Drosophila melanogaster: one gene and its partner. The protein of the gene in region 2 purifies or fractionates together with the protein of the main gene of each other region. This does not show direct contact. Each region holds a gene or a part of one and is shown on either strand. Other genes may lie near its edges.

Evidence for each region.
Region 1: the proteins of Kat60 (region 2) and kat80 purify together in Drosophila melanogaster (affinity purification with western blotting; one study listed by BioGRID). This does not show direct contact.

The regions. Positions count from the first base shown.
Region 1 is NC_004354.4:16,262,342-16,278,940, reverse strand, and holds kat80 (katanin 80), read left to right. Parts: upstream 1-2,760; 5' UTR 2,761-2,825; intron 2,826-3,023; exon of another isoform or gene 3,024-3,187; 5' UTR 3,188-3,374; coding exon 3,375-3,408; intron 3,409-4,249; coding exon 4,250-4,377; intron 4,378-4,439; coding exon 4,440-4,657; intron 4,658-5,125; exon of another isoform or gene 5,126-5,328; coding exon of another isoform or gene 5,329-6,416; intron 6,417-6,712; coding exon of another isoform or gene 6,713-7,421; exon of another isoform or gene 7,422-7,537; intron 7,538-7,844; exon of another isoform or gene 7,845-7,990; intron 7,991-8,360; coding exon 8,361-8,702; intron 8,703-8,826; coding exon 8,827-8,962; intron 8,963-9,599; coding exon 9,600-10,667; intron 10,668-10,735; coding exon 10,736-10,869; intron 10,870-10,937; coding exon 10,938-11,027; intron 11,028-11,091; coding exon 11,092-11,166; intron 11,167-11,225; coding exon 11,226-11,460; 3' UTR 11,461-11,934; downstream 11,935-16,599. Other genes in the region: Prosalpha4 (proteasome alpha4 subunit), read right to left, coding at 1,632-2,049, 2,115-2,344, 2,422-2,523; Mfe2 (peroxisomal multifunctional enzyme type 2), read right to left, coding at 5,329-6,416, 6,713-7,421; CG12507 (uncharacterized protein), read left to right, coding at 12,447-12,913, 13,114-13,561.
Region 2 is NT_033777.3:5,229,364-5,245,962, forward strand, and holds the start of Kat60 (katanin 60), read right to left. Parts: upstream 2,847-16,599; 5' UTR 2,706-2,846; coding exon 2,694-2,705; intron 1,951-2,693; coding exon 1,630-1,950; intron 1,263-1,629; coding exon 659-1,262; intron 466-658; coding exon 344-465; intron 1-343. Other genes in the region: Mms19, read left to right, coding at 3,279-3,363, 3,428-3,811, 4,022-4,371, 4,430-5,875, 5,943-6,365, 6,480-6,671; rtp (retinophilin), read right to left, coding at 7,036-7,303, 7,510-7,810, 7,869-7,896; CtsF (cathepsin F), read right to left, coding at 8,528-8,793, 8,850-9,031, 9,091-9,834, 10,129-10,256, 14,475-14,891; CG33293 (uncharacterized protein), read right to left, coding at 10,941-11,201.

The DNA of each region.
Region 1 (16,599 bases), on a different chromosome or scaffold from region 2:
AGCCTCAAAAGCGGCGATTCCATGCGGAATTTAGGTCGTGCGAAGGGGCCTTAAGCGCGTTCTGGGTTAAGAACCCCCGCCCACGACCCCCTTACCACAACGACCCATCCCACAATCCGAGCATCCTTTTTCCTGAACCCGGTGCGATATTTGTTGGTTGATTCGAAGGATTCCCATACCAGATTTTGATTCCGATTCGGTGGTTCTGAATTCAGATAGTGATTCGATTGGATTCGATTTCATTCGACTGGATTTGATTCGTGTTTCGCATGCAATTTGAGTTTTGAAAACGACAAACAAGGTAAAATAATAATAAAATGTGTACCAATATGTCAAGCGTCAACGAATGCAAACGCACACTGAGGTGAATTGTTAGTTGTCTACACACGTTACCTTCGGGTATTGATTGTTTTTTAAAAGAAAACACAAAAAAAAAGCCGCGAAAATCACACAACCAGATTATCGATTTTGGCCCCCGCTGAAATTGGCGCACACAACACACAAATTTGACTGGGGAACGAACAGCGGGCGATGCAAACGATTCGGTTCCGACTTGGAATATATAGCTGCCGAACTATCGGTGCAACAATCGGATCGCTCAACCGGTCGCTCCATCTGCAGGGAATACCAAAACGCCTCAGTTAAGTGGCGCGCGAATGAAGGTACTTGCGCTTAGCCACCAGCTGGGCACACTGCACGAGCCTGCATAGAGTTTTTTACGAAATTATCACAATTTAGGAGTTTTCCAATTAGAATTGGAATAAGTTCGTACTCTTAACTTGCTAACAAGTTGATTTTTAATGCAAAACTTTTCGCAGACAACTTTTCGACAAGAACAGTGCTGCCAGACTGTCAGACCGGCACCTTACTGGCGTGTTTTTATCACATTTTCTAATATTTCCAAGCTATTGAAATATTCCAAAGCTTTCTATCTGCACATTCTTTTTATATAGGTGTTCCCAGAAAATCGCCTTAGCATGGAGAGTCGTGCTAATACGGCGTTGCCAGACTGTCATTGCATTTCTTGTTGCTCTTTGCAAGAGCCCGCCAAATGAAATTTTTATTTGAATACAATTTATTTTTTTCTTCCCCCGTTCTTTTGCTTGTATAATATCCCAACTGGAAAATGTGTACTTTTCAATTACGAAACATGTACAATATATAGCAATAAAGTCCAGTAAAATCGTGGTATGTTTACAATTACTTTTTTGGGCCTGATGATACGTTGCCATTAAAGTGCAATGTCATACCACTAATGTAAGTTTTTTAACCCTTTATACCCCCCAATAGCTTGCCCATAATCCTCCCGTGAACAATCTTGAATCCCAAATGCAAGAACAAAGTTCGAATATTCAACAGGAGCTCCGCCTAATGTATGATGACGCATGTATTTTATACAGATCAAATATTTTCATACCGTTTTACAGGGTTCCGAAGAATAGAAAGTGGTAATTAAAAAAAGTATGCATTCGGTTCACCGAATTCAATTTGAATCGTTTTCCAAGTCAAATCAGGTTGGCTACAATGAGCAGACAGAATGTGGGCGGCGACACCAGATAGTGTCGCCGAATGCATGGAAAGCGATTCAATGCAACGGCCTTCCATCGAAGAAGTGTCCCAGCTGCTGGGTGTTACTTTTTCTGTTTCTTCTTCTCGAGCTCCTCCTCCTTCTCCTTCTCGATGATCTTAACATAATCGGTAATGACATCGGTGTCCAGCATTTTCAGTGGCTTGCCGTTCTCCATGATGGCCACCTCCAGATTGTTCTGGCCTGACTGCGCCACCTCGAGCAGCGCACGGATGGCCAGTTTGACGGCTCCGTGCTCGTTGGCCACCTCCTCCTCGCGGTAGGACTTCTCGAAGAACTCGCGCACAACCTTTGCCGATCGCCCGGTGGCGTTAGCCTTATACTCGTAGAAAATGCCCGACGGCTCAGTCTGGAACAGATGCGCAGAGCCATCGGCATCGAAGCCGCCAATAAGGCAGGAAATACCGAAGGGACGGCGGCCATTGCTCTGCGTGTATTTTTGTTTCAGCTGGGCAATGAATCTAAAATGAAAGGCCAAAACCATATAGAAGCTAATTTAGAGCGCAACTATTTCACAAATCCTCACCTGGTTATGTACTCGAGGGTCACGGGATCCTCGACATTGAGACGATGGCTCTGGCACTCCACCTGGGCACGATTGATCATGATGCGAGCGTCGGCCGTGAGACCGGCAAAAGCCATTACAACGTGGTTGTCGAGCATGCAAATCTTGCGCACCTTTCGATCCTCCTGCAGTTGGGCCACCGACTTCTTCTCCACGCCAAGCACAACGCAGTTGGCGCCGCGAACTCCGACCTGCGAGGCGAAAAATTGGAAAAGTCCATGTTTGTTTCGGTTTGGCGGCACTGCGAACGGTACTAAATTGCACTTACCGCAGTCGATCCCTTGCGAACGGCCTCCTGGGCATACTCCACCTGCAGGAGGTGACCGTCGGGAGAGAATATGGTTACAGCACGATCGTAGCGTGAGGACATCTTGTTGCTTTATTCAATAGCTGAGGTACTTGCAGAATATTAACTTATAGCTTTTTCCTTCTCGAATTCGCCAGGCAATGATGATGCTTTTTTGAGGAAATGCCGCAGTGTGACCGCAGCATGGGTTCGATGAAAATTACTAAATTAATACCGTTTCGCAGTGAACGATATATCGTTGCTGAAATCATGTATCAGAATCAATTCAATTCTTGTTACTTCAGTCTATTTAATATTCTATTCCATTTAGTCTATTTAAATATTTAATTTAATACTTTTGTAAACCGTTTTACAGCTTCAGGGCTGTAAATAATTTAGTAAAATATCAATTAATTTTTTTTCACATTATCTGTTATTATTGTTATTTAATAATACAAATTTATAATACAAATTATTTTCAATATATATATATATATATGTATTAATAATTATAACCAACGACTGTTACTTAAATGTACAAAATGCAATCGCTATGCCGGCCCTGGTAATCGGTGTTCATCGACAGCTTGCTGCAGCCCTCGTCGTCGCTGTAATTACAATGTGATGTGCATTTGTTTTTGTTAATAAGAATTGTCCGATTAAACATTTAGATTATCTGTTTTTAAACAATGCGATCACGGTGATATCGGTTCGTAAAGGTTTTACACACCGTGTGATTTTGTTTCAGTGCGTTTTGTTGTTCGTTTCGTAAATAAGTGGGCTTCATTTTGCCCAAAAAAGACGGGAGCCCAGACAGCTGATCACAGACTTTGGCTCACACCTGCTACAAAAAGATAATATTTATTCGAAAACCTGGCATTCGGATCGAATTTAGCAGCTGCCAGCGTATTTATATAAGAACAATTTGATTGATTATGGCGCTGCCCAGAAAACTGATATCCAAGATCTGTAAGTAAACCGAATGTTCGAAAGTACCGTTGTATATTCCCACACACACACAAGCACGTAGAAATACGACTGCATGTATATATGTGTGTGTGCGTGCGTGTTTGAAATCCTATCGTAAATTCTAGTGTTGCATGCAACTTCAGTAACTTTTAAAACAATACCACGCGTTCTTATAAACAATGCAGATATCCAATAGGAAAATCCCCAGGTGCACATATGTATGTATGTAGATACATATGAACATTGAGTGCAGCTGCAGCTGAATTGTTCGTTTTAAAGTAATTAATATCTTGTTTTACAACGCAATATCAATATCAAATAAACATCATACGGCTTCTTCAGACTTTAAAATAATATTTGTATATAGCCTTTAGAAAACTTCAATTCAATCCCAAGAACTATAGAAGTTCAAAAAGGTTTTAATCTGGGAACAAGTTTTCAATTTCTTTGAAATGCGTACATTTACGTACATATGTATGTACATATATACTGTACATATGTATGTATGTACATCGATTTCCTAGCTTTATTTTATCTGTTTTGCTTTTCAAAATACTAGTAATCCTTGTCATTCATAAATGTGGATAACGTAAAAGGTACTTATTTATTTATATCGACACAGTTTCCTTTGAAAAGATTCAAAAATCATTATAAAATTGTATTTATTGAGTATATACTAATACGAAAATATCATATTTTTATTATTATATATTTGTTGTAAGTTTTCCTTTTGATCTTGAAAAGCTGTTGTTTAAAGCATAGCTTAATCTGAACATACTAACTATATCATCATATCATGAAAACTTGCCGAAGAGGACTAACCAATTCTCATCCTTTGCAGACGATATAAAGGCACATGATAGCAGGGTCACGAGCCTTGATCTTGGCGAAACTGGACGAGTGCTGGTCACCGGAGGAGAGGATCGCAATGTGAACCTCTGGGCGATTGGTCAAAATGAGTGCTTTATGGTGAATATACTAACTACTTCCTAAATATATGTATGTACTAATCGGTGACCCTTTCCTTTCAGTCTCTGACGGGCCACAATCGTTCCATCGATTGCGTGCGTTTTGCTTATAAGGATAACTTTGTCTACTCCGCCGACGACATCGGTATAATCCGAAGATGGGATCTGAATTCACAGAAAATCTACTCCACGCTAAATGGCCACATGAAGAGTGTTCGCACTCTGGACTTTAACCCGTCTGGAGAATATGTGGTGTCCGGGAGCAATGATACCACCGTCAGGTGAGCCAAGGACCGATATATAAATAGTCAGAGTAACCCATGAGTCATTCGGAAGCTCTAGTTTCCTTATCAAGTGGCAGATTTAAAGTTTATTCGTTGATTGAAAAGGGATGGCGATATTCTCCCTCCCTCTTTTAGCTGTGCTTAATCCTATAGAATCGCGTATTTTGGGTTTAATAATCTACACAAAAGAAAAATCTCATATTTAGAAATTAGAAATTTTATATCGGTTTAATGCACATACATATTAGATGCATTGTATCTATATGGTCTTTTCTTAGATATCACTTGACCTATATATGTGTAAAACAAAGATAATATGACTCACTACATTGCACAAAAGGGGACAGGCTGACAAAGATAATATCACTTTGTGTTGTTTAGCTAAAGTTGATATTTCTTTTGGGATCTCATATATCTTATCTCTCAGATCTATTACATCCATGATCTTAAACAACATTGCATTTTCAGTTATGTGATGTTTTATTGGGAGTTTTATAAAAGTGTTACAAAAAAATACTTCTACCACCACGGGCGTTTAAACAATTGCATATGTATAGGCATATTTGTTATAGTGTATGTACAAAAAAAAACGGACGCGAAACGAATTATAAAGTCAATGATAATCCATTGCGACTAAGGCAGACTATGTGTCTCTAGGTGATCCGCGCTTACAGCTTGGCCTGTGAGCTCTTCAGGTCGACATAGGCGCCGGATATGACCTCCTTGCCGGTCTCCACGACCACGGTGCGGAAGTTGATGCGTGTGCCCTGCTTCCACAAGTCCACGCGCAAAGTCTGGCCCGGAATTACGGGTCCGGAGAAGCGCACTTTGACAGCCTTGAACAGAGCCGGGTTGTTGTCCGCAAACTGAGCGAGCACGGCGCGCACCGAGAAGCCCAGTGTGCAGAGTCCATGGAGGATGGGTGTCTTGAAGCCGGCCAGCAGGGCCATCTGGGGATCGATATGCAGGGGGTTCTTGTCGCCGGACAGACGGTACAGCGCCGCCTGGTCCTCGCTGGTCGTATACTGGACGGTTGCGTCCGGTTGGCGATTGGGCGCCGGCTGCAGCGGAACTACACCAGCGATGGGATCCTTCTTGCCTCCGAATTTGCCAGCGCCGACAATGAAAGTGGTGCTCTGGTTGCGCACCAACAGGCGGCCACTTTCGTCGAACGACTCGCTATTGGTGACGACCACGGCGCCGGATCCCTTGTCCATAACATCGAAGACCTTGCCGTTGGTCAGCAAAGTGCCACTGGTGGGCAGATCGTCAACGATCTCTAGGTACTGTTCGCCGTGCAGAATGTTGCTGAAGTCCACTTGGCTGTTGGGCAAAGCCTTGCTGAGCAGCTTGTCGGTGGACATTTGCAGCAGAAGGCCGGGCAGAACGAAGAAAGTTGGAATGGCGGCGAAATCGGCATCGTTTTCGTACAGGAAGCGCATGTCCTTCGCGTTTTTGACGGATGCCCCAATGCCCAGGGCGTAGGTAATAAGCTCTTTGCTATTGAACTCGAAGGCATCCTCGATGGCGTCGCCGCCGCCTTCCTTGAGCTTCTCAAGCACTTCCAGCAGGGTGCCGGAGGCCTCTGCGATGGCACCCAAGTGCTTGGCCTTGGACATGTCGGTCACATTCGACCACACATCCTTGACGTACTCAATGGTCACGGGGTCGTCCAGCGAAGGACGCAGCACAGCGCCCTTGCCGCGAACCATGTGCAGCTTGGTGGCCCAGCCGGCGGCACTCTCGATATAGCTACCTGTGGATCGGAGAAGAGGGAGAGAGAAAACGTTTAATAAACCCTATATATACACACATGTACACATATTCCTGATAAACGGTCTAAGTTCAAACGCTATCAGTATGAATTTCCCTAATCAGGCAGATTATGTTGACCATTTGGATTGGACTACTGGACATATTAAAGATGACTTAGCAGTGGTTGGCCAAAAATTGCATAATTTTGTAGTTCTCAAAGGGTTAAATTGATACAAATTGATATGATAATCAATTCTGAGATAATGCAATTCTCGCATAACTTCGGATCCCACTTACCATTATCCTCGCAGGACTCGTGGCACAAGTAGGCCACTACGGGAGCAATCAGCTTGGGCTTCAGCTCGTTGAAGAGAATGTCGGGCAGAATGCCCTCGGTCATTCGACTGGCGGCAGTTGGCACGATGACGTTGCAAAGAACATTGTTGCGGGCTCCCTCGATGGCAACCGTGTTGGCCAATCCGATGAGGCCCATCTTGGCGGCAGTGTAGTTGACCTGCCCGAAATTACCATAGATGCCCGAGTTGGACGATGTCATGATGATGCGGCCATAGTTCTGCTTCTTCATGTACGGGAATGCCGCCTGGGTGCACTTAAAGCTGCCCTTCAGATGGACATCGTTGACCAGATTCCAGTCCTGTTCGCTGGTCTTCACCAGACTCCTGTCGCGTAGAATGCCGGCATTGTTGACCAGGATATCGACGCGTCCGAAAGCTTTGATGGCCGTCTCGATGACCTTTGCCCCATCGATTACCGAGTTGTAGTCGGCCACCGCCTCGCCGCCGGCCTTACGGATCTCATCCACCACAATGTCGGCGGCCCGCTGCGATGCTCCATCGCCGGAGTGGGTGCCACCCAGATCGTTGACCACCACCTTGGCGCCACGCTCCGCGAAGAGCAGTGCGTACTCGCGGCCCAAACCGGCACCAGCTCCCGTCACCACCGCCACACGGCCATCGTAACGAAGTTTTCCATCGGATGAGGACATGGTCTGTCTATTGGTCAATAGCAATCGCAATTTCTGGTTTCGCTGCACAAATCCGGTCTCTGCGGCAACGCTTTTTCGGCTGTAAAACACGAATGAACCGATGAAAATAAACTGGTTGGCTAATAATCGAACAAGAAAGGAGAGTAGCACTACTTTTCAATCGTACTTAATCTCAAGCGATAATGCTATCTGCCCTGCCCTCGCATATGTGAGTGTAACTCTGGACTCTTCGGCTGAAGAACGTTACCCAGGCGATATGGTCCAAGTCCAGGGGTTCACGGTTCATAGTCAAGTGCTTTTCGGATGGCACCGAAATCGCCGAAATCCGAGATACAAGATACATTTGCACAGTGACGACAGCACAGTTATTCGAACCGCGTGAAATGGCCCACACACACACACATTAAACAAGGGTTAACTTACAGTTCTCGTAGATTCGCCGTATGATGGTATGGTATGCCCGAATATGCACAGATTAACCCAGTATCAGTGGTACAAAGTGCATCACTATTCGCTGCCGAGATAATTTTGCAATCGTTTAATCGGTTCAACCCATGAAAATGCACTAAAATATACTGCCCGCATTCATACGTTTGTGAGCACTAGAAAGTAGTGCCGTCAAAATGCTGGAAAGCAGTGCATCGCGGACGTAAACCTCGGTTCGGAACTTCGCTAAGCCGTAGCAAAGACTCCAACCCGTTTTCATTTTCCAGACGATTAAATTTAAAAATGAACAATTATGGAAATTACACTTATCTTCCACATTTCAAATTCAACTATGTCTCTTTATTTAACATAGAAATGTATAAAACAACAATAAATTGAGCAACAATAAATGAATTAACTAGGAGATTACATATATTATTGAAACTTTATGAATTACATATGCTTTGTTGCTTATTTAGCAAACTATTAACTTTCATATGTCTGCAATCTCAGGCTTTGGGACGTGCAGAACGAAAACAACTGCATTAAGGTATGTCGCGGCCACATGTCCCACGTGAATTCCGTAAAATTCTCGCCGGATGGTCTTTGGATTGCCTCTGCTGGCCTGGAGGGTTCCATACTCATCTGGGACATACGGAAGAGCAAACAGATAATGGAGTTCATAGCCGATCCGCCGGTTACGGCTATCACATGCGTGCAATTCCATCCGTTTGAGTTCCTGCTGGCCGCCGGTCGCGTCGATGGCACCGTTTCCATTTACGATCTGGAACACCAGCAGCTCGTCTCGCAGACCACGCACTTCTATGGCCAGGCCATCAGGTGTATAACCTTTAGGTGAGTCCTGCAAAGAATAATCCGCAATCGTGAATTGATTTATGAAAAGAAATAGTAATATAGTAATTTTGCCAAAAAGTGCATAAATTCTAATTATCTGCATGTTAAACTTTATTTATTTCAGTGACAATGGCGAGTGCCTTTTTGTTGGCAGTTCTTCGGGCATTTCGGTAATTGGATGGGAACCGGATCGTGAGCTGGACCATATAAAAAGCACCTGGTCCTCCTTGGCGGACATGAAAGTGGTCAACAATAAGTTGGTAAGTGAAAGCACTTACTCATTAAGCGAAGCACCCTTCCAAATCTCGTCATCCCCGTTATCTTTTTTGACAAAAATAATCAGTATTTTGGTCAGAATATTCTAAAAAATGGTCCAAATATGGAGTGTCATACCTCGTTGAGTTTGTTTTTTTAATCCAAATCGATTTGCATTCAAATTTGGGAATTCTAGGTTTTTTAAATTTTTTGCAAATTTTGATGATAAAATTTTGATTATAAAAAAGGCGAAAAATTGGCCAAAAACTAATTTTACAAAATCCGTCCAAAAGTGAAAGGGGTGGTTAGTATTGGTAATTAGGAGCACAAAACGGTATTTCTTTTGGCGGTGTGGCCATTTTTAGTCAAGTTATACCCAGAAAACCAATCTTAAATATTGCATTTTATGCCAAAACTGGTTTCACTGATTTTATGCGAAAAAAATAATCGGTATTTTGAGCAAAACATTAAAAATAATGGCACAAATATGGAATGTCATAACTTGTTGAGTTTCCGAATCAATTCGCATTCAAATTTAGGAAATCTAGGTTTTTCACTTTTTGAAAAACCAATCTTAGATCTTAAATGTAAAATGTCTACAAATGGAATATCCAATAAAAACCATTGCACTTCCTTTTGTAGATCTGTGGTTGTCATGAGATCGACACCGTTTCAATCAACACCATCAGTCTGGATCGAGTGATACCATTCTATCAGCCGCCAAACTCACTACCCAACTTTAAGCACAACTCGACGAACCGAAAGAGCTTTACACGTGGCAACCAGAAGTTCAGGCTGTCAGTTGGCGGTGCCAAGCCGGCACAGGTGCAGGAGGAGCACGAGGGCGACAAGAGTGGATTGTCCTCGCCCAACTATAGTCTGGAGGTTGTGAACGAGGCGGTGCTGGAGTCGGCGGAGACTTCTCCAATGTCCTCGTTGCCACCTGTCCACTTGGCTTCGATGGCCGGATCGTCGGCGGACTTGGCGCCGCATCATGTCGTATATGGCGGAGCAATCGATTCTGCCCTAAGGCAGGGTAAGTACTCCAGAGTGCCTGATAATATGGCCAGCTATGGCAGTAGTTACGGGGCCATCGATACCCGCCTGATGTCCTTGAACGAACCCAGTTCACTGCACAAGCCGGACATTTACAATCTATATCCGCTGGACAAGAACGAGGAGGCGGATGTGCAGCAGTTGGAGTTCAATCTGAACGATAGCAATCCGCCAATACTCAACAACTATGATAACTACGAAATGGCCGAGGACTTTCCGGTCAATCAGAACCTGAACTACATTACCAATAACTATAAGCCAGTGCCCGCAACCTCCACGATCAACGCCTCGTCCAAGTCGATCAAGAAGACCACTACCACCACCCTGCACAAGAGGACAACGAACAACATGGCCGGCGCGAAGCAGACGTCCACGGGCATCTTTGGTGGCAGCAAGCTAAGCCAGGTCTCCTCGGTCAGCTCCATGGAACTGCACAAGCTGGACGACAACATGGTACTGAAAAAGTCCTCCTCCTCGAATGTCGTCAACAAGAACAAGCGGCCAATGGGCTCGGCCCAGAGTCAGTTCAGCAAGGAGAACAATCAACAGAAAAATATCAATGTGGAGATCATCACAAAGCCACCGATGCGATCCCGCACCACCCTGGATATGCGTACGTCGCACCAGGCTAAAACTCAGGAAAAGCAAATTCACGTGAGTGCTTAAAAACTTCGCTTGGTGCCCTTTATTTAATTAATTAATTAATTAATTAATTATTCCAGCAGCAGCAGCCAATGAACAATCGCATTATAATGGATGATCACGACTTCGATATGCTCTCGAGATCACACGAGGCTGTGCTGCAGGAGCTGAGCAATCGTCAGTCTAGCCTGGATTTGCTGCGGCACGCAACAAGGTAAGTATTGGTTAAACGGTCTATTTGAAACATTCGATCGATTGACACATCCATTGGTAATCATGTAGGTCTCACGATGTGCTGGGCGCATTAAGGCAGGCAAGGAGCTGTGGCAAATCCATTTTCATAGATCTACTCGGAGCCATACTGGAGAAACCGTAAGCATAATATTATAAATATTAAAGCGACAGCGATAACAATAGGAGTTTAATCCCATAACAGGTCCTCGTGGAACTTGGACTTCTGCATGTTTGTGCTGCCAGAGATTTACGAACTCTTGCAAAGCCAACACAAGTTGTAAGTATGGATAAACATAAACGAAAAGGTAGCCCAAGTAATCCCAATCTGTATTTTAGCCACTTTACGAGAGCCTGTGATACCCTGCGTATTATATTGTCGAACTTCTTGCCAACTATACAGGAGAACCTCGATTCCTGGGCCGCCAATGGCCTGGGCGTCGATGTGACACGCGAGGATCGACAGAGGAAGTGCGCCGAGTGCCAGCGGTGGTTGTTGCAAATCAAGAACCTGCCCGAGAGCACACACTTTGGGTCCACGCTGTCACAATTACAAAACATAATTATTTTCTAAGGGCAACGCATATCCAGCTGTAGATGCTCCTCGGCGTTCAAATCAGCTCTTGAACGGTACAAAGATCGTCAACAAAAGAAAACCACCAGCTTCCCAAAGCCTGATTACGAAATCCAGTGTCCTGGGGAGTGGCCTCATTTGTCGCTCTAAGCTGCCAAACTAAGGAATTTTAAACAATCGTTTCCGGAACAGCAGCTCTAAGACGAGCTCTTCCGAACGCTGTTTATCCAACATTAACATTAACCTTTCGGCCATCTATTCATCGTCATGTTGCGATGAAGTCAACTTGTGAACTAAGAAAGTTACGTATGATTTCTTTCGACACAAGCTAATTTCAGCAGACCATGATGATTGAAAAATGGGCCTTAGTTATTTAATGATTTGTAATATTAATTTGTTATGCAAACTAATTTATATAATAATTATTTACCTATACCTAAGTCCCAAAATTTGAAAATATATAAAAGAAAACATACGTGAATTCTATAAACTATTTGCGATCAAATATTCTTTTAGGTAAGTACACTTTTCAGAGTTTACGACTAATCTAAAAAAGTTCATGGCGATCTAAAGCAAATGTACATATATGTGTATGGTAAAGGTATGTTGGTGAAAGAAAGAAATGAATAAAATTAGATTGTTAAAAGGTAGCTGATTTATCTGTTTTTGTTAGATTGCAACTAAACTAATGGCTTTACATGCATTTAGCACACAGAGTAGTGCAATCAGAGAAGTTCTATATTGTTTATATTATTATGCTTATTTTTGTGCAAGCGGTGAAATCGGGGAATGTACTGCGAGTATTGCGGTTCACTGCTCCAATAGAATGACCAACAAAGCAGCCAGAACAAACGGCTTTGAAGTTCAACTTACCATGTCGCCGAATCATTGTAGCGTTTAATGCCCAACCTTTCAATAGAGTTTTGCAGCGATTAGTGGAGCACTTCGACCTGGCACTCCGAGCGCATCGGCTGTACTTCTGCACGATGTCCGAGAATAGAGTAATCCATATGTGGATGCGATGTCTGATGCCACTGCTGCTGGCCAACTGCATTGCGGCGAATCCCAGTTTCGAGGATCCTGACCGTAGTTTGGATATGGAGGCGAAGGACAGCAGCGTGGTGGATACTATGGGCATGGGCATGGGCGTCCTGGATCCTACGCAGCCAAAGCAGATGAATTACCAGAAGCCGCCATTGGGTTACAAGGACTACGATTACTATCTGGGATCTCGACGAATGGCAGATCCCTATGGGGCCGATAATGATCTGAGTGCCTCGTCCGCCATTAAGATTCATGGCGAAGGCAATTTGGCTTCGCTAAACAGGCCAGTCAGTGGTGTCGCCCACAAACCACTGCCCTGGTATGGCGATTATTCCGGCAAACTGCTGGCCAGTGCTCCCCCGATGTACCCGTCCAGGTCCTACGATCCCTATATTCGCCGCTACGACAGGTGAGTGTGTGTTCAAGTAAACCGAAACTATCGCAAGAAGATAGTTCATCTGGACAGTTTTTTCTCAGAATCTGATAATTAGTTTAACAAAAAAATGAATATTGGAAAAAAATGATTATGAAATTAATCTTAACTGAATATGAAATTCTGCTCTTCTCTATTATTGTCTTTACTATTATTAAACTATTAAATTTTTGCAGATATGATGAGCAGTACCATAGGAACTATCCACAGTACTTTGAGGACATGTACATGCACCGGCAACGTTTCGATCCGTATGATAGCTATAGTCCCCGGATACCGCAGTATCCGGAACCCTACGTTATGTATCCCGACCGCTACCCGGATGCCCCGCCTTTGAGGGATTATCCGAAATTGCGGCGCGGATACATCGGTGAACCCATGGCGCCCATCGATTCCTACAGCAGCAGCAAGTACGTCTCTTCGAAGCAGTCCGACCTGAGTTTTCCGGTTCGTAACGAACGCATCGTATACTACGCCCACCTGCCGGAAATCGTACGGACACCATATGATAGTGGATCACCGGAGGATCGAAACTCGGCGCCTTACAAGCTGAACAAGAAGAAAATCAAAAATATTCAGCGGCCTTTAGCGAATAATTCTACCACGTATAAAATGACATTGTAGAAGGGGATTTTAGAATGTAAGATCCATTTTTTTTTTTCATTATTCGTATGCATTTGTATTTGTCACCCATGGAAATTAGCACCAAGTTCAGTGTACCAGCACATTGATTAAAAATATCGAGGTGAGCTTATTAGCAATTTTGATGATTTTTCATAGATTTGCTTTTAAATTGTTTCACTCACTTCTCATAATTCATAAGGTTCTTTTTTTTTTGTTGATTTATAGGATCAATATAAGCGCATAAACTATACCATATTTGAATAATAAATTTTTTTGAAAGTATAATCGAACACAAAAGGAATTAAATTGACTGCTAATAGCGTATATTAATTCTAAATCCAATGAAATTATAAAAAAATAATACAATTATACTCTAAAAGTTGCCCCACTTAAATTGAATTAAGTTATTCTCCTCCACTCAAACGTGTAAAAAAAAAAAACTTTCAAAGCAAATAAAGCCCATTCACAACTTGCCAGGTTTGGTTTCTTTTGACCAAGTTTCATTTACGTATATGGATTTATTGAAGACCCGGCAAAATTACGTCCATCGGTTCGAGATCCCCAGAGTCTCGTTAATTACGCAACGCCATTACTTTGACTTTTGTTTCGAACTAGGGGGATGTGGATGTGGATATTAAAGTTTGCGATTTGTGTAATTTAACTTTTTCGCTGTCTCTGCAAGCAAACAAGAAGGATTCGTAATTATTTACAAACATGCATATGTACATATGTATATCTATACTCGCTTCGTATAAACGAGTATGCTCACATGGTGTACACATGGAAGAAGGTCAAAAGGTCCATTCATCCTGGAGCTTTATGTGTGTTTGGGTCTTGGTCTCGTTTTCCTTGTCGTTTTGACACAAGAGGAGCAAAAGAGCTATTATGGTGCCCAATACCAGCGACAACAAATACTTGTGTAATGCATGAACACGTACGGCTAATTAATGTCCTTTTTTTTGTTTTTTTTTTTGGAGCTAAGCTTGTCGGCGAAAATCGGCAGATGTAGTTGCCAATGGTGTAGGGCGATTTGTCAAGAGGTTTGATTACATCAATCGAAACTCATATTGGTCATGTCACAAATTAATTGAAGGGTAATAATTAAAACAAGCAATACAAGCTGACTAACCCATACTTTTTTGCCCAAACTCCGTTTAGGCCCATCTTTAAGCCAAGTAGTTTTATGAACATAATAATCTTCAAAGTATGTTTGCAAGTAAACTATCTTCGTAACCCAAAATAAATAAACTAACTCTATCTGAAGATACAGATACCAAATCAAAACTTAAATTGCAGTTTCTTGTGTTAGGCAGGGTATTCCCATGTCTACTACATGATTAAGAAAGCCACGCGGCTGTCTGTCCTGTGTTTGTCCATTTTACGAGCTGTGCTTCGCTGTCCTTTCCTCCTTCGGCATTTCCGTGTTATTACTCACAACTTGACACGGACATTTTCACAGGTCACAGCCACGCACACATGAACTCATGCACACACACACACACACACACACCCATGAATCCGGGAGCGCAGGACAATTGCCGTCCTTGTGGGACATTTTGCATGACGATGCGAAGCGAAGGACTTGCGCTGGAATTGGAAATGGAAGTGAGAGTGAGGGGTGGCCACCTAATGAGCGCACACCACCCATCGAATGAAATGTAACAGGCGAGGATGGATTCCCACAGCACAGGTCAACAAAATAGATCTCACTGGAGTACCATAAATGGAAAGCAACATTTCGATAGTATTATGTATAAAATGTAAAGCAAACCTTAAATTATATTAATTAACTAATCAATTTGATTGACATTTCTTTTAGAGCCCAAATCATATGCACCTAGCTTCTTGCCCGCTGCTGTTCGTGTAGCCACATATATCCAAAGAACAAGGCAATTCGGCTGCTTTGTGGATCTCGGGCTTGGCAAGAAAAACAATAACAATGATGCACGCGATACTTAACAAACTTTTGCGCCGGGCGGCTCCATAATTAGAATCATTGAAATAGCCATTCAACGTTCATTTGCTCTGACAGGGAAATCGGCCTTTTCTGGCCAAAAGCTGAGCGCTGGAGCTGGATGCTTTAGTTGAGGATGTGCCTTTACCTTTGGGGGAACACGGGCTAACTGGCTGCCTGGCTCCCTGGCTGGCTGGAGGACCTCGATGGCCAAATGGCACGACATATGCCCCATGATTTTTGTGGGCGTATTCGGAGGTGTTGTGGCAAATGAGAAAACAATGCCCGAATAACGACTCTCCGATGTGCATTAAAAGATTTATTTCCCTCCGAATAAATGAAGTTTTTCTTTATGGCCCCGGTCTCGACAGTACTTTCCACATGGCTGGCACTGCCGCAGCCACTTCCGCCAACAGGATGCTACTGATTTTGGACCGTCATGGGGAACCATCTTGACCACCTTATGGCATAGGCGTCGTACTTTGATGGGACATAAAGTACGCTTGGAGCCATTCATTCTCCACTCCTTGCGGACAACTGTTTCCACTGTAATCGCCGAATAGTTAAATTCGCTCTAGTTACTTATTGCGTAGAGAGTGGAGAGTAATGCCTGCCTTTCCGCATTCACATGTCAACAAATCACCGAAAATTTATTTGTCTACCCCGGCTAGACTTGCACGTAATTAGGCAACCAAGGTACAAACGACATAAAGAAACCTATAAAAATTCCACTTCCCTATTAGAGTGTCAACGCCGGAGTGCCCAAGTTGAATGTCCTTAATTGATGGAGTGGCGCCCAACGATGGATGGGGATGTGCTCCAGGAAGCTAATCATCGCTGGAGTAACTCGCAGTTTCATGTTCACGAAATCACTTTAAAGAACTCTTAGGAGATTTTTGATAAAAAGAAAGTTTGTCTTACTGGACTCGATTTAAGTTAGGGGGCTGGTTTTTATAAGGTTTTGTAAGCCAATTGGTATTTGCTAGCTTAATCTCAATTCTCTAGTTTTTGTAGGTCGGACATGACCAGATCGGCTCAGCTTATGATCCGAACATAAATTTATATATTTAATATATAAATTATA
Region 2 (16,599 bases):
CATAATTATTTATTTTTTTTCGACAGGTTATTATGGATCGATATTCTTTTGAACGCACACATAGTTTGATAAGATAACATAGATAGAGGTACATCATAATCAGCATAATTTCAACAATGGAAACTTTTAAACCGCCCCAAGTAAAAGTAGAATGTGTTGACAAGTTCCACCACCTAGTTAAGAGGGATAAAGCTGCAAGGCGATGCATTTCGTGACAGTTCAGAATAGTTGATCAAATACACATTGCCCTGAGCACTATAATAAAGCGCGTTTGTTGACCCATCGCGAGATAAGCGTTTGGCAGAATGTGATTCACAGAAAACAAACAGCGGGGGTGACGCACCTTGAAGTAGTCCGGCATGAGCATTGGCAGCACGACGGCCTCCTCCAGCAACCGCTTGGCGTCGTGCAGGTCGGCAATGTCGCTCCAGCGCACTTTGGGATCCTTTTGAAGAATATCACGTTCTGAAAAGAGAGCGTTGGCATGTAATAAATGTAGCTATACTAGACCCAAATTTTCATAACTACTACCATTTTTGAAATAGCCACAAATCTTAAAGCAAGTAGAGTAATGCATTAGCTTTGCTTAATAAATAAGACTAGCACATCACCAAATTTTGAACGAGGCAAACCTTGCGGCAACGATTTAGGCACCTACCAAGAATGTCGACTAGCTCGGCTTCGATGTGGTTGTTGGGCTGAAACTTGCGCTCTTCCTCTTGGGCGGCCTGCGGATCGCCGTTTTCTCCATCGCCAGCCGCTCCGCCATTGTTGCCTGCAGCGGTGGAGTCGTCGTCCCTAGCCTCGTTGGTGTTCGATGTGGATAGCTTGCGACCGCCAGCCCTTCCATTGGTGGTGCGTGCTCCGCCGCTCGGTGCTGTGGCGGACGTTGAGTTGCGGGAATTGCGTGTCGAGGCCGGACCATTCCGGGCAGTGCTCTGCGGGATTGTGCTGCTGGGGCGGCTGTTTTGCGTTGCCGGAGTGGTGCGGCGGTTGTTCGGTGCGGCTCTTCGGCCAACGGCCTGAGTGGTGGGTGGTGGCTTCGGCGGACCCCACACATCTGGATCCTTGGGCGGAGGCGTCCAAATGTCGGGGTCCGGCTTGAACCAGGCAGATGGATCTTTACTGGTGGTGCTTTCTTCGCTGAGCTGGTGTCGCAGCTTGTGTGCAAATTTGGTTGACTGTAGGTCCAGCGAGATGTCTTGTAGGGTTCTCTGAATGGCCTTGATTTTGGCGTGCTCCTGGCTAATCTGCTGGTTGATCTGCAAATCGAAGATCAGTTAGTTAAATGATGTCAATGAAATCGTCCGGTATGGTAAATATTAAACTTTTTGAAAATACTTGGTTTATTATGATCTATTGGAGTTTTAGCCAGTTACTTTGTGCCAGTAGTGCTAGAAATTACTTTGTAATTCAAATTTTAGTCATTCGGTAGTGTTCTGATTAAATTAAATCTTTATATGCACGTTAACGATCTAGATAACTCGTTTACACAAAACCTCTTGGGCAATTTTGAATGGCGTTGACAAGATGTTATGACTAAGTCCTTTGTTTGTCATAACCGTCACCATTCGCATTCATTGGCATGGTAGTTGACAGTATCTGGAGGTGGTGATAGGAATGTCTTACCATGCTCCACTTGCCCTTGCGTAGCGGATCCGCGGTGGCCTTCAGCTGGCGGGCGAGCAGCCCCTGGAGGCCCTCATAGTAGATGCAGGCTGAGTCGTAGTTGCCCGTCAGAGCCATGTCCCGTGCTAATTTGGCATTCTCGCATATTTCTTCAAACGTAGTCTTGGCCATTACGGTCATTCCTACGCAAGTGGTTGTCTTTTGCTTGCCACCTCGCAGTAACTGGCGATCGGAACAGGTTGTCGTCATTGTAGCCAAAAACGAGAGACAGAGATTAGTTCCAATTAAAGCGCTCGAGTGCGTGAGTTTCTCCAAGTGTTGCTGGGTGGGAAGGGGAACAATAGAACGGAAGCGACTTCGTCATTCGCTGGCTCGCCTTGCAGGTAAAAATGGAAAGTGCGCCTCCCAGCCAGAAGCGAATAAAGTGGAAAACCCGGCGACAATTGCGAATAATAGAAGATGCCAGTGGCAACGACCCAAGTGAGCTGCTAATTATAAATTATCAGGCGCACAGCCGCCGACTTGTCACCAAATTTAAACGCAACGCGCTCCGATTTTCAATTCCGCCTCCAAGGCGGGACGTGGGCCAAATGCCGATTGGAAAATGTATTAGGTAGTTATGAGCCGAATAAGGCGTTCGACCTTGTTGGCTTTGAATGATTCTTTCAACTCGACTCAAATCGTCGTATGCAAAAAAAAAAAAAAAAACAAAAAACACAATAGTAAAAACAACAAAATTAACGCTCGCACACACACACGCACACTCAGCTCAGGTTTCAGCGGCACACAACACACACTTTCGCACACACGCACACGGGCGCACAATGGGTCGAATTAATGCGATCTAAATAGAATTTGAGTTAATTGCAAGCCTCTGGACACAGCAAACTGCACTTTGCATTCGACACTTCACCGTATTTCTTATTCTTATGCTTCTTATTTTATTTCCAGCTATGTGGGGGCGTCTGCAGCTGCAGCAACCACAAGAGCAACAACAACAGCAGCGCTGACGTCTCGCCGCCGCACACCTACAATTGCAGCTGAGCAGTTCGCGGGCGACTTACGGTTATGGACATTAGTGTACTAGCTTTGTTACGCGGCGTTCCGAGCGCAAAATGAATGCGTAAACTATTTAATTCAGAGTTTAAGGTGCTGCGGTAGCTAAAATAAACTGCTGCCTGCCTGTGTTTGTAATACTAGTGATGTGCGTGCTCTGGTGATGCGGGGCTTATCGATACATCGGCGCGGACACTTGACCACCCTGTTGCGTTCCCTGTGTGCAACAGTCGGCGACTATCGATTGTTTCCAGAGCTGCTAAAAATATATTTCTAAATTTACAACGAATTACAAGAAAATAAAAAGAAAATCTCCGTATCGTGTCTATCGATTATAAATCAATATACAATATGTAAGTATATTTTCCAGTTCTAGAATTTGTCTCCGAGCCACACATTACCATCCCTGAGCGCCACTGCAATAAAAGCTATATTAATCGCTAAAACATTTGCACTACTGTAACACCAGTCTGGCATCGCTGTGATATAGATAAGGCCAGTACGACAAGTCATCGGTTATCGGTTCTTAACATTTCGGCTTAACGTGCTTAAACTCATTTAAATTTAGACACCACTCAAGCGACGGTGCCGCAATGACAACGCCCACGCGCGCCACCCTGGAAAAGGCTCTGAAAAGCGACCAGAAGCTTGTGAATTCCGCCACACAGATAGCCAAGGGCAGGTTTACACCCGCATCCGTGTCGAATGTGCCCTTCTCATAGAGATTCTTTGTTTCCTCCAGATCTGACCGCCAAGGCATATGACATATCTGCTCTGGCCGAGGCACTGGGCTTCGCCCTGTCCTCTCCGGACATGGAGGAGCGTGTGGCCGGAACCAACTTGCTCTCCGCCGTGTTGATAGCACTGCCCCAGGATCTGCTGCAAGAGCGGCAGCTGGAGTTCCTCAGCACCTTTTACATGGACCGCCTGCGCGACCATCACAACGTAATGCCAGCCATTATCGATGGAATCGACGCCCTGGTTCACATGAAAGCTCTACCGCGCGCCCAGATTCCCCAGATTCTGCAGTCATTCTTCGAGCACACCACCTGCCAGTCGCAGACGCGGAGCGACCGCACCAAGCTGTTCCACATTTTCCAGTACTTGACGGAAAACTTCCAGGACGGTGAGCCCTGATTTCATTTTAGCATGAAAGATACATTGACATTGCTTTAATCCGATTTAAACAAGTCAGTGTGCAAAAAAGTTATAATTAGATGATTTTAACTAGTCGAACAGATATTTGCGACAATCTTAGTACCTTTTATTTCCGTTATTTTTAGAAAATATTACACAATATTACAACTCAAACAAATCAATTTTCTTCCCGATACAGAGCTGCAAGCGATGGCCGGTGACTTCGTCTACGGCCTGATCAATTCCATTGACGGCGAGCGTGACCCCCGCAACCTTGACATCATTTTCAGCTTCATGCCCGAGTTCTTGTCAACGTATCCGCTGCTGCATTTGGCCGAAGAGATGTTTGAGATCTTTGCGTGTTACTTTCCAATCGACTTTAATCCCAGCAAGCAGGATCCAGCGGCCATAACCCGTGATGAATTGTCCAAGAAGTTGACTAACTGCCTGGTAGCCAACAACGAATTCGCTGAGGGCACAGTGGTACTGGCCATAGAAAAGCTGGAGAGTGAGTTGCTGGTTGCCAAACTGGACTCCATAGAACTGCTGGCAAGAAAACGTAACATTTTGAAATGCCTCTTTTTATACATGCTATTTATTGTTACAGCACCAAGCTGCCGTGAAGTTCCCGCCTTCCGTTCTGGAGCCGCACTTCGATCAGATATGGCAGGCTCTGAAAACAGAGACTTTTCCAGGAAATGACAATGAGGAGATACTGAAAGCTTCCCTTAAGGCGTTGTCTGCGCTCCTGGAGAGAGCTGCTCACATACCGGATATAAGCCACAGCTACCAGAGCTCTATTCTGGGCGTAATTCTACCGCATCTCAGCGATGTCAATCAGCGGCTCTTCCATCCTGCCACCGGGATCGCCTTAGTTTGTGTATCGGGAGATGCGCCCTATGCAGCGGACAAAATCCTCAACAGCTTTTTGCTCAAGCTGCAGGCCGCAGATGCTAGTTCTGAGCAGCGGATCAAGATCTATTACATAGTTAGCCAAGTCTATAAGCTATCTGCGTTGCGTGGCTCTCTCCAGAAATTGGACACCACGATACGCGAGTCTGTGCAGGACGATGTAATCGCCTCCCTACGCCTAATTGAACAGGAAGAGTTCGATGCCAAGAAGGAGGACTTGGAGTTGCAGAAGGCGGCCCTTTCGGTGCTTAACGAAAGTGCTCCTCTTCTCAACGAGAAACAACGCGCTTTAATTTACAAAGCTCTGGTTCAGCTTGTCAGCCATCCGTCCATCGACATCGATTTCACCACACTGACGGTTAGCCTTGGAGCCCTGCAACCGGTGGAGGTGCAGTCAAATTTCATTGATGTTTGCGTGCGAAATTTCGAGATTTTCTCCACATTTGTCAAACGAAAGATATACACAAATTTATTGCCGCTCATGCCTCAAATAGCGTTCACTCAACGCATTCTAGATTTGGTTATGACACAGACGTTTAACGATACTACTGCAGAGCCCGTCCGTTTATTGGCTCTGGAAGCATTAAACAAACTGCTCCTGCTAGCGGATCAGCGCTTTATCGTGGACGTGCAGCAGGAGTCCAATCTTCTTCACAAGCTCATCGAACTGGGCCAGAAGACCGAGGGTCTGTCTATGCAGTCGCTAGAACAGATTGCGGGCGCTTTAAGTCGTATCACGCAACAGCTCCCGCTCTCCGAACAAAGCGCTATAGTAAGCGAGTATCTTCCTGGACTCAATCTGAGTCAATCGGCTGATTTGTACATTACCAAGGGCCTGCTGGGCTACCTTCATAAAGACATAACCCTGGATGACCACTTCGAGCGGCTTCTGACCGATTTGACGCAGCTTTCGCTTAATTCGGACAACGAACAGTTGCGTGTAATCGCTCACCACCTGCTCTGTAGCATGGTCAACAAGATGGAGTCGAACCCAGCTAATCTAAGGAAGGTCAAAAAAATCACGGAGCAACTGAAGGTGGCTATTAAAAAGGGCGATGTTCGGGCGGTGGAGATCCTTGCATGGGTGGGGAAGGGCCTAGTAGTCGCAGGATTCGATGAGGCTGCCGATGTTGTTGGTGATGTATGTACTAGTATAGCCATTTTAGTTCTCTAGTTCTTATTCGTGAAATAATATTGTCTCATTAAAGCTCTCGGATCTACTAAAACATCCCAGTTTGAGCACTGCCGCTGCCTTGGGATTCGACATCATTGCCGCCGAGTACCCAGAATTGGATTTGCCTGTCGTTAAATTCCTCTACAAGCAGAAGCTTTTCCACACTATCATGGGAAAAATGGGCAGCAAACTTGCCAACTACTGTGTGCACCACTTGAAGGCTTTTGTCTACGTACTGAAAGCCACGCCACAGGCGGTTATTAAGCTAAACATTGAGCAGCTCGGTCCGCTGCTTTTCAAGAGCTTGGAGGAGCACAACGAGGCGCAGTCGCTGTGCATTGCATTGGGCATCTGTGAAAAGTTTGTGGCGCAGCAGGACACGTATTTCCAAGGGCATTTGGCCCACCTCATACCCAGCTGTCTGGAGCTGTCGAAATACAAGGCTCAGCATACCATGGTAAGTTAAACATGCACATATTATTATAAAGATTTGATAGTTAATTGAGGAGGTTTCTTAACTTGTAAAGGAAAATGTCGAACACAAAACTTAAACTCATTTTCTTTCTTATAGCAAGTGCGAATTGCGGCGCTGCAGCTGCTCTACGATGTGACAAAGTATCCTACCTTCGTCCTGTTGCCCCACAAAGTCGATGTTACTCTGGCCCTGGCCGCCGCCTTGGATGATCCCAAGCGTCTGGTGCGGAACACAGCGGTGAAGGCCAGGAATGCGTGGTACCTGGTCGGTGCGCCTAGTCCGAATTAGCAGAGAAACAACTCCGTTCTTGTTAATATTATAATCCAATAAGCACACGCACAAATTCTTCATAATTTTCTTGTTGTTTTTATTAGGGTGCGTTGAAGAATTTTTGATAAAGAATTTGGAAAAAGCAAAATTATAAAGTAAACGCGAAATTGTATGCATTTTATATTACTTAGATACATTTACGAACGTTTATGCGCAAATGTATTAAAGTTTAAGATGTTAAGAAAGAAATGCTTATTTCTTTTCTTAAAGGCACCTTTTTCTGTTTTATGACTTGAGACTCTTACAGTCGGTTACTAAAATTTGTATTTTTAAACTGTACGTGTTTATCAATACCAACTGGTAACCAATCTGAAGTGTCTGTTCAGTATGGGTGTTCGCACTGGGAACGGGCCATAAGAGCGCACTTTTGTGCACGCTGCACCACCTCGGGACATCGACGTCGTCTCATAAAGCGGCAGTCTTGAAAGAATCCCTCGTTTCTGGGAAAGCCGTGCGTGAAGTCCTGGAACGTCAGCAATCCCAGGCCCCAGATCTTGCCGCCTCGAAACTCGCCCTCGTACTTCATTCCATCGGCTCTCCAGAAGATCCCATTACCATGAAACCAGCCCTGATGAAACTCGCCTTCGTATCTGTCTTAAAAATGTGCAAAATGAATCATCATATACAATTTTCTTCACTGGATGCAAACCCTAGGTAAATTATAGCTAAACCATTTCTGATCAAGAATATATATACTAGCATTTCCTCTTACTCCCCGAGTAGTGGCTACAAGAATAGTTTTCAAGTGCTACAATATTTCGTTTAGGTTTACATCACTAATATTATTGAAACTGACTTTGCTCCATCCGCGAACCAGAGGCAGCCCACTCCTTGACTAAGACCCTCCTGGAACTGCCCATCGTAGCGGGTGCCATCGGCGAACTGCAGATGCCCGATGCCGTGCTTTTGGCCACGCTGGTTCCACTCGCCGATGTAGCGACTGGCGTCCTCGTATCGCCATCCGCCCACTTTGACCGCCCCTGCGCTGTACTGGCTTTGACCCTGGCCCTGTTGGTGGTGTCCATGCTGACCCTGCTGGTGGGGGTGCTGTTGGTGCTGGTTCTCGATTCGGGCCGTGGTCACGCCCACGCTGCTCACTGGGTAATGATTTTTACGCAATTTTGTATCTGCATCCTTTTGTCTGTGTTCACTTACTGTCATCATCGTAGTCGTCCATGGCCATTGCTCCGCTACCGCCCGCGATGCGCTTCAAGCTGCTACTGAGCTGGCTGGTTCTGCACCAGAAACACTCATTTTCTATGGCTTCCCACGGTGCGACGGCCCTGGTCTAAATCTAATTAACATATTGCACTTCTACACACTGACAAAGTGTTTGAAAATCAATCATCAAAATCACTGGGTCAAATGTTCCAGTAATTGAAGCAGTTATAAATATTTCTTAACAGCCAATAATACTCTGGCACCCATATTTAATCAAACCATTTTAATCGAATAATTTGAATACATCTCACATAAATTCAACATTTTTCTTGATCCAACCAACCATCAATCTTGACCAACTGTTGCTGCGGCCAGAGCTGTCATGGATTCAATAATAAACCCAACCAGGTTTTAATTCTTGTACAATTTATTGTTATTTTCAATTAAAGCGGAATATGTGGATGCAGACTTTTTCGTGAGATTACAGATGTCTGAAATGATTATACTATATAGGCGAAGCTTTGAAACTCAACGACTCCTTATCGTGACGGTTGAAGAACATGGAAACAGAATTAATTGTACACAAAGTTACTGGCTAAATTATTAACCTAGATATAGTCGTATGCTTGTATATAATTGGACTCAAAGCAAGTCTAGGCCAGCACAGCCGAAGTGGCCATTTCGCTGACGCCGCAAGTGTTGTCACCACGATAAACGCGATAATAGCCCTGCTCTCCCCAGCGCGGACCCCACGAGTTCTTCACAATCCAGTAGGGCAAGGTCTTGTGGAAATTGGGATAGTCGGAGACGCCATACCCCACAACTAGAACACCGTGGTCGAGGTTTTTCTTGGAGCACAGGGCCTTCCACGGATGGGAAACTCCGCCGCGATAGAACTGCATAGCATTCGCATTGATGCCTAGAGAAATGATCTGGTTAAGTGGGCTTTGGGGTTAATTTTCTGCATCGACTTACCGATCGAAATGGGACCATTGGCGAGAAGCCACTCCTGCATGGCGGTCTCATTTCCCTTCGGCAGATCCACGAAGCCGGCAACCTGAACGTGGGACAAAGTCCTGTTGAAGTGGCACTGATTCTTTTTGGCCTTGTATGGGTACTCAGCCTCGTACTCTAGGCCGCCAATATCCTTAATGGCCCTGCGGAGGAATTATTACATAAGTATCTACATCGTAATGTTCATTCCCTCGTAACTTACTTGTAAGCATTGTCCATGAGGCCGCCGTTGCAGGCACTATCCGTGGTATCACAGTCCAGCAGCTCCTGTTCGGAGAACTCTTTCAATTCGCCCGTTTTCACTGCGTACAGGCCTTCGATGTTGCCGGTCACACTGAAGGCCCAGCATGAACCGCAGGATCCCTGATTCTTCACCTGGGTGACAGCATCCTTCTGCCTCCAGTCAAACTCCTTCGGCAGTTCACCATGGTAAGCCGGTACGACAGCCGCCGATCCGCCAGTGGCCTTTGCCTCATCACGCTGCCAGAGTCCCGTGCGTTCCTTGTATTCCGAGCTGGTCATATCAGCAAACTCCGTGATGCCGTACTTGGCGCTGCCCATCTCGTTGGCGTTTAGCTCCTCGATAGTCTTCAGGTTCTGACGGAAAATGCGCAGGCGCATCTGGCGCTCGGCGGTGCTTACGTAGCGACGGCCAAATCGCACCTGGAACTTGTAGAAGAGGTGGTCCACCTTGTCAAAGCGATGGCTGTGCTTCTTGTGCGTCTTCTTCTCGGCCCACTCCACGGATCGCGTGTGTCGGGCCTGGACCACCGGCTGGTTGCGGCACTTAAAGGTGATTTCGTGCTCATCCTTCCTCACCCAGACCTTTGTCCAGATATCCACGATACAGCGGTGCTGCTCCTCCGACCCGTCGATTAGATCCGCATCGATGCGGGTCAAGATGCCTGAATCCACTTGCCGCGAGGCTGAGTATACTTTCACAATTCTAGAGCACAGCAAACGAGCGAGTCAATTATAATGAATCAGACAAATCTACTTAATGCTTATTAATATAATAAAATGAAGAAAATCCTACAAGTTCTTCAAAAGTGTGTACGTTACATTTTTGAATAGTTTCTGAACCTTACTTCTCTACATTCTGCATGTTTAGTCTTAACTTTCTAGCTTTTATGGTTATGACCAGATCAACTCAGATTGTAACTCTGTTACGCTAAATCTAGCATACCCTTTGCTCTTACATTATTGGTTTAGTCACTTGAATTAATGGATACAAGCTTACTTGTAATGGGGACCCTCTCCCGCGGTCAGTTTGTCCAGAGATTTTTGCAGCTGCGCCTTCGCCGCCTCTTCATCGTAAGGCTTATGCCTACCCAAGATATCGTTCGCGCTGCGTCTGCTGCGATGGACCTGCAAAAAATGTATACATGCATAAAAATCTGGGACAATGTTGATAACATAGTAATCTAGCTTAATTACATAAACAGTAACTGCATGGCCATGGTCCAATCATCCGTCTGTTCATATAAACAAGAAATGCTAGAAAATGTAGTTTACGCATTCTACTGACGCAGATGCAGCACATGACACACAGCAATTGCAATAAATGAACTTTTCCTCTCGAATTTTCTTTATTTTTTGCACATTTCCATCAAGATTCCACTTCCACTTCATGAGTAATGGGTATTTAAAAGCCTTTCAAACGGATGCCATTTAATTCCAGGCTAGTTCCAACTTTTTATGGAATCTCGGAAATATTCCAATCTCGATTTATAAGCTCAGTAAACCATAAAAAGTGTTCACCATTGATTGTTTAATTTTAATGTCGCTAAAACGTCGAGATTAACGCGAACTACTCGTGAAAATATAAAATTTTACAATAACATGCTTTTTGGGGCTATATCTTCGATTAAAATATTTGTTTTCGTTCTCCGTCCACGTAGAGCGCATACAATGAAGATTCCGTCTGACCAAAATTTGGAGAAGCGGTTTCACGAATCGAACTACTTGAATGCCAACTGCTTCGAATGCGAAATGAACTAACTGCGCTGTGGCCCAGAACCATATCGGTGAACAGGAGATGGGGATCGAGAATCAAAGACCGCATTCAAAGGGCACAATGTAGTCGTCTAGCAGCCGCACGCGGCGGAGTCTTCCTTGCGAGTCCACGCCCACGTCACCGCCACTGGATGCAGTCTGCTGTCCGACTTTGAGCCCCTCCTCCTCCTCATTCCTCAGCTCAACCTGGTGTCGCTGCACCACCAACATGCCGGCTGCTATTGCCGCCTCCTGGCGCAGCCATCCGGACATGATCCAGACACGGCGAATGCAGGTTGTCAGTGCGAATCGTTCCATAATGGAAGGAATCTCTGCACAAACCGTGTTTATCGATCAATAAACTTTAAAAAAAAATGTTAAGTATTTACGCACCTTACAAAATATTAAAAAATATATGTCTAGTGGCTTCGGACTGAGGTAACCGAGTAATGTAAACTGAATTTGGACTGGGACGCAAACGACATTGACAACTTAGCTCGACTCCAGGCCCTACTTTGACCTTTATTTTCGAAATGTTTTGCAGGTAGTCCTTACCTCCTTTTATATACCTTCATTATTTCTTTAGGCTTGAATGGGAAACAGACAAGTGAAGATTCCATTAATCCTATACAATATATCCCACCCATACATTCCACGCATCACGCCAAAAGACAAGCCAAATCAGCCCTTTGTTTGCTGTCTGTGAGTTCGCTAATCTTGTGCTAATTACGGAACAGGGAAACACTTATCCATTACAAACAGACACACAGCTGTCACCACATCAGACCTCCGACACCACGAGCAGTGGTGGGTAGGAGTGGAGGGAACATAAGTTATATGCGAATGTAGGTAAAACAAGGATATGTCTGAATTTACATTACCGAATCTGACAAAACGACACATCGTTCTAGTACACGTGGCTGGAAGAGTTTGCGGCAAGGAACATGGCGGTCCAAAGGCATCTCCCATCCCCCAGAATGTGGGATACGCCAACAATAACATCGACAGACACAAGCGGCCCATAAACCATTCAATGCTGAACACAAAACCAATTAAACCAAACATTTCGGCTGGATATTCGTTTGCCGCCTGGCATCGATGATGGTACGAGTAATATGTTGATGCCGTTGATGGGAGTTGGTTTCTGAGGATCCGGAGCCCCAGTCTCTGCCAAATCCACACCCACAGCCAGGAGCCAAATGTCTGCTCCTGCTGTCACACCCGGGCAACTGGCATGGCGAATGCGAATAAGGATTGCAGGTGGAACCACACTCGAAACATTTTATGGCCTACAAGGGCTAGGAAAACATGTAAGTTGAGGAGGAAAAGAACGAATTATATCTTCTATACTACTGTTTGCCCTTGGAGGGAGTTATCCATATATACTTATTTATTCAAAAATTCCAATGTGCGGCTTTAGAAACTTTCAAGCCGAAATGCAGTGCAAATACTTTTGAAGTGCAGGAGGTCACCTATGTAGCGACAACAATACCGAATGGAATGTAATGGCTACGACGTGTGTATAATTAAAAATACAGGAACACAAAAAGAGGCCGTCGCTGGAACTGGGAGTCCGTGGTCATCCCTATAGATGTGTGCATACTGTGTCCGAACATGAATTCATTAAGCTGCCTGCTAAGCACTCCCTTTTCCAGCCTCATCTCAGTTCAACTGGCCTGGCCTACTATCCAACCCATTTTAGCCCATCCCATCGCATCCTATCCCATCTCATTCCATCGAGACGGGGGGAACTGTTAATTCAAATGTGTATTTCAATAAGAATTATATCGTAAATGATGTTTCCACGACCCTGGGGCAACAGAGGAGAACCCTGGGCATGGAGTATGTGGCTCCTGTGGGTGGGAGCAGTGTGCAATGGTCCGTGAAATCCATTCGGATGTATAGACAGTGAAGTGCTGAACGCGGCGCTATACTTTCTGACAGTTGCCGTAAATCAGCAATGCAACTGAACTGAATGGTTCTCGTTTTCAAAGCACTTAATTAATTTATTCCGCGATGACTTTTCCAGGAGCTCATTAGGCACTTATATGGGTTGGAAATAATGTTGGCAAAGGAATTTCCGATTGTTGAACATGTCCAACGAAGATTGAAGCGAATTATCGCGTTCAAATGTAATTTATTTCCCTCTTCGGCAGCTGGATTTAAACAAAGTAATTAAATAATGGATTTATTAATTGGAAGTCAAAAGTTACACTCCCCGCAGTGGCTATTTAATTCCTAAATCCGGTAAAGACCAAATGCCCCTTCAGTTTAAATTCAATATGGTACAATGTAGATACTCCTGCTCACAAAATTTCCAATCAATGGATTGCGATCAAACGGCTCACACTTGGAAAACCCACGCTCTAGAGCAGCGTCGCCACCATTAAAATTGCAGATTGTGTCATTGATTACTTAACCCCTTATGCTCTCGACGCGAAGTCGGGTGGAAAGTGGCCACCGACCGCCGGAGACAAATCGCCCAGACCCACTGTGCGTGGCACCACAGAGCCAACTGCTGTAAAAAGTAGAGCACAAGGATAATGAGAACACTTGCCTCGCACCACTCTGTGTATTTCAGCTTCTGTCGACACCGCGGGCACTACACGGCGAGCGGGAGGGGAATCCTGAGCCTCCACCCACTTAACCTCTCATACATACCGGCACTTGGGGCCAACCCAACCCCAGTTCACAGCCAAGACATATAGACAGGTGCAGATGGCCCCTGCACAGGTGCCACGAATACGGCTAAGATACGGCGGGTTAAACAGATTGCGGCCGTAATTTGAGAGCGGAAACTCATTTGATTATTAAGGTGAAATAAGTGTTCTGCCATGCCGACGAACCCAACCATCATCATCACATCGCCATCGTCATCAGGTGAAAAGGCAGGCTTAAATAAATTCAATTAAATAACATTTTCCTTTTTTATTGTTCGCATTAGGGTGAGTATGTATAATGAGTGGGCTGAGTATTTATATGAGAAAGACAGAGACTCTGAACGATGGGGCTGGCTGTGTGTGTGAGTGTGTGTGTGTGTGTCTGGGATGATAATGAGAATATTCATGATAATGCTGTCGGTATGGTAGTAGCCTCCACCTCGGGATCCTTCTGCTCCCGGCCGGCCTCCTCCTGTTGCTGCCCCTTCTCCTGACTCTTCTCGAAGTCATACGCACCCACCGATAGGAAATCGTCGAGCCAACGCTTCTCATTTTCGTTCAGCTCCGTGGCGATTGTGGTGGTGGCTACGACCTCCTCTTCGTGCTTGTCCTCCACCTCTTCTGCCTTTTCTTCCACATTATCAATGCTAATTGCCGTGGCCGTCTCATTAGTGGCGTCAGGTGGACTAAGCTTGGTGACTGCTATAGATGCGGTTAATACAGCAGGAGCTGCCGAATCCAGAGGGGCAGCCTCGGCAGGAGAAGGAGCAGCAGGAGAAGGTGCACGAACAGGAGCCGCTGAAGCGGTTTTGGTCAGACTGACCTTCCGCCTCATAGGTCCCAGGTTAGTGAGTATCTGTGACTCCAGATTGGCCATCTCTGCGTCGCTCAGTTCTTTCCTCTGACCGCCATTAAAGATGCTATTACTCACATATTTCTCGTTAAGCAGTCGCGCCTTCTCTGCCGGATCTCCGGCCACCGAGTTCACCGCTGGGTCGGTGCAATTGGAGGTAACCAGTTCGCGGTGCTTGTCGCCCCACTGGGTGCGCAGCCAAGGCTTTTCCAGGATGACCAGGCGGCAGACTATGTCCGCTTCCGCCGGCTGTATTGCCTTTGTGTCTAGCGCGTTTAGCAGGATCTCATAGCGCACTCCGGCGGTGATTTCCCGAAAGGCGTCGATGATATTCACAAAGTTCATCGACAGTGGCAGGAAGGTCATCGCAATGTTCTGGACACCAATCAGGTTGGGTGACAAATACTCCCGCTCGCCGGGATTCAGAACGTGGACCAGCGTGATCGGGGGCTCACTCACCGCCTGGTCCGTTGTTGTTTCTGAAGATTCCGTGCTCTATTTGTACGGGTTTTGAGGATTTGAACGGATTGGGGTGTTTGGGGATTGGTATGCGTTGTGGGGAAGGACGAAACAAAAGGCAAAACACATATGAGGATACACACATAGAGATTTCGTTTGGAATTGTAGCAGGCGTTGATGATCGATCCAGATGCCAAATTGGAGTTAGTGCGTCTTTGTAAGGGAGTGGGTGATGTTTCAATGGGGCAAGCCAAGCCGTGTGGTGATTGTGTGATTTACTGTTAAGTGCGGCTAACAAGCATAAGCCAGTTCACCATCAACATGGTTAATCCCACAAATTTAATTTAATTTCGATTTATACCAGTATACCGGGTTATTAGACCAGTCAACCCAAATTAGTTCTCCCATCAGTTTAAACACAGAATACAACAGGCATGGTTTTTGTTAAATTAAACGCTTAATTATCATTATGATTTGTGATGCCATCGATCCTGTTCAAATAATTTTGATTGATTAACCTATTCTTCTTATTAATAGAAATGTTATGCTGGGAGAGCTTGTCTAAATGACTAAACATTTTGCAATGCACGTTGCACCTAATAAGCCACCAACCATTAGCAAGAATATCCCCTTAATTTCCAATTCAGGAAAGCATTACAGCACATGGGGGTTTAAGGTTAATTTCAAATGAAAGCATTGCAAGCACCACGACCTCCTCCCCCAAAGGCTCAGTTAATCGATGCACCCCACACCGCCCCCATATGCACCTGCTCGGCCAGCCGGGCCTAAAGCCTAATGAACTCCGCATAATTGCAACTGCAATTGCGGTCAAAATGCGGCAATGGATCGGGACATCAGACGACCAATCAAGTCAATCACTGGCCAACGCTTGACTGGGCTTTTCAGGCCACAAAAACTAATTAACCGCCGTAACGAAACTGAAACGATGCGAGCCACATCGAACCGGTTGGTGGGGCAATGCCGCACAATCCATCGATAAATGATGAGACACAAATGCAGAAAACCGTTGACAGACAGTCAGTGGAACACTGCAGACGGATTTTGCTGAATAATTAAAAAAAAGTCGGAATCGCAAAAAGGCGGCCCACAATCTTTGGATTGCTTTGACTGTTGCTTCGGTGGGACCACTTGAAAAAATGAAATATCTTGAAGTGTAGTGACAGTATCGATGTCTCAAGAATCCCGACAAATAGATTGCATTTATTTTGCAATAATTCCTTACCTATGGATAACATTATTGATAATTGGTTGTAAAGTTTAAAAGACAAAGTACTAAGGTGAAAAGCAAGAGAGTACTAAGACAATTTCGCGACCATCTTTTAAAATAAAATATTCTTAGGCCATATCATTTATATTCATAGCTCGCAAATTCTGTCTTAACGTTCAGTTAAGCCCTATGTAGCTTAGAGCTTAATGGACTTAGTGGCAGCTGTGAAACCACATTATTTCATAAGTGTATTTCTGCTATTGCTGCTGAAACATTGCAGTTGACAGCGACAGCAGCCGGCAGAAAAGTGAGGATGAGATGTGGGACGGGATGGATGGGGTCATCGGGTAGTTTGGGGGACTGGAATACTTGGCGTCTTGTTGACGTTTTGGTCGTTCATCCTCATTGCCGCTGACGTCGTGACAAAAAGCCGAAAAATGCATAAAAACTTTTGACAGCGGTTGCGTCACTGCAAGCGACGTTGATGCCCGCCTGATGCTCAAGCTGATTATGTTG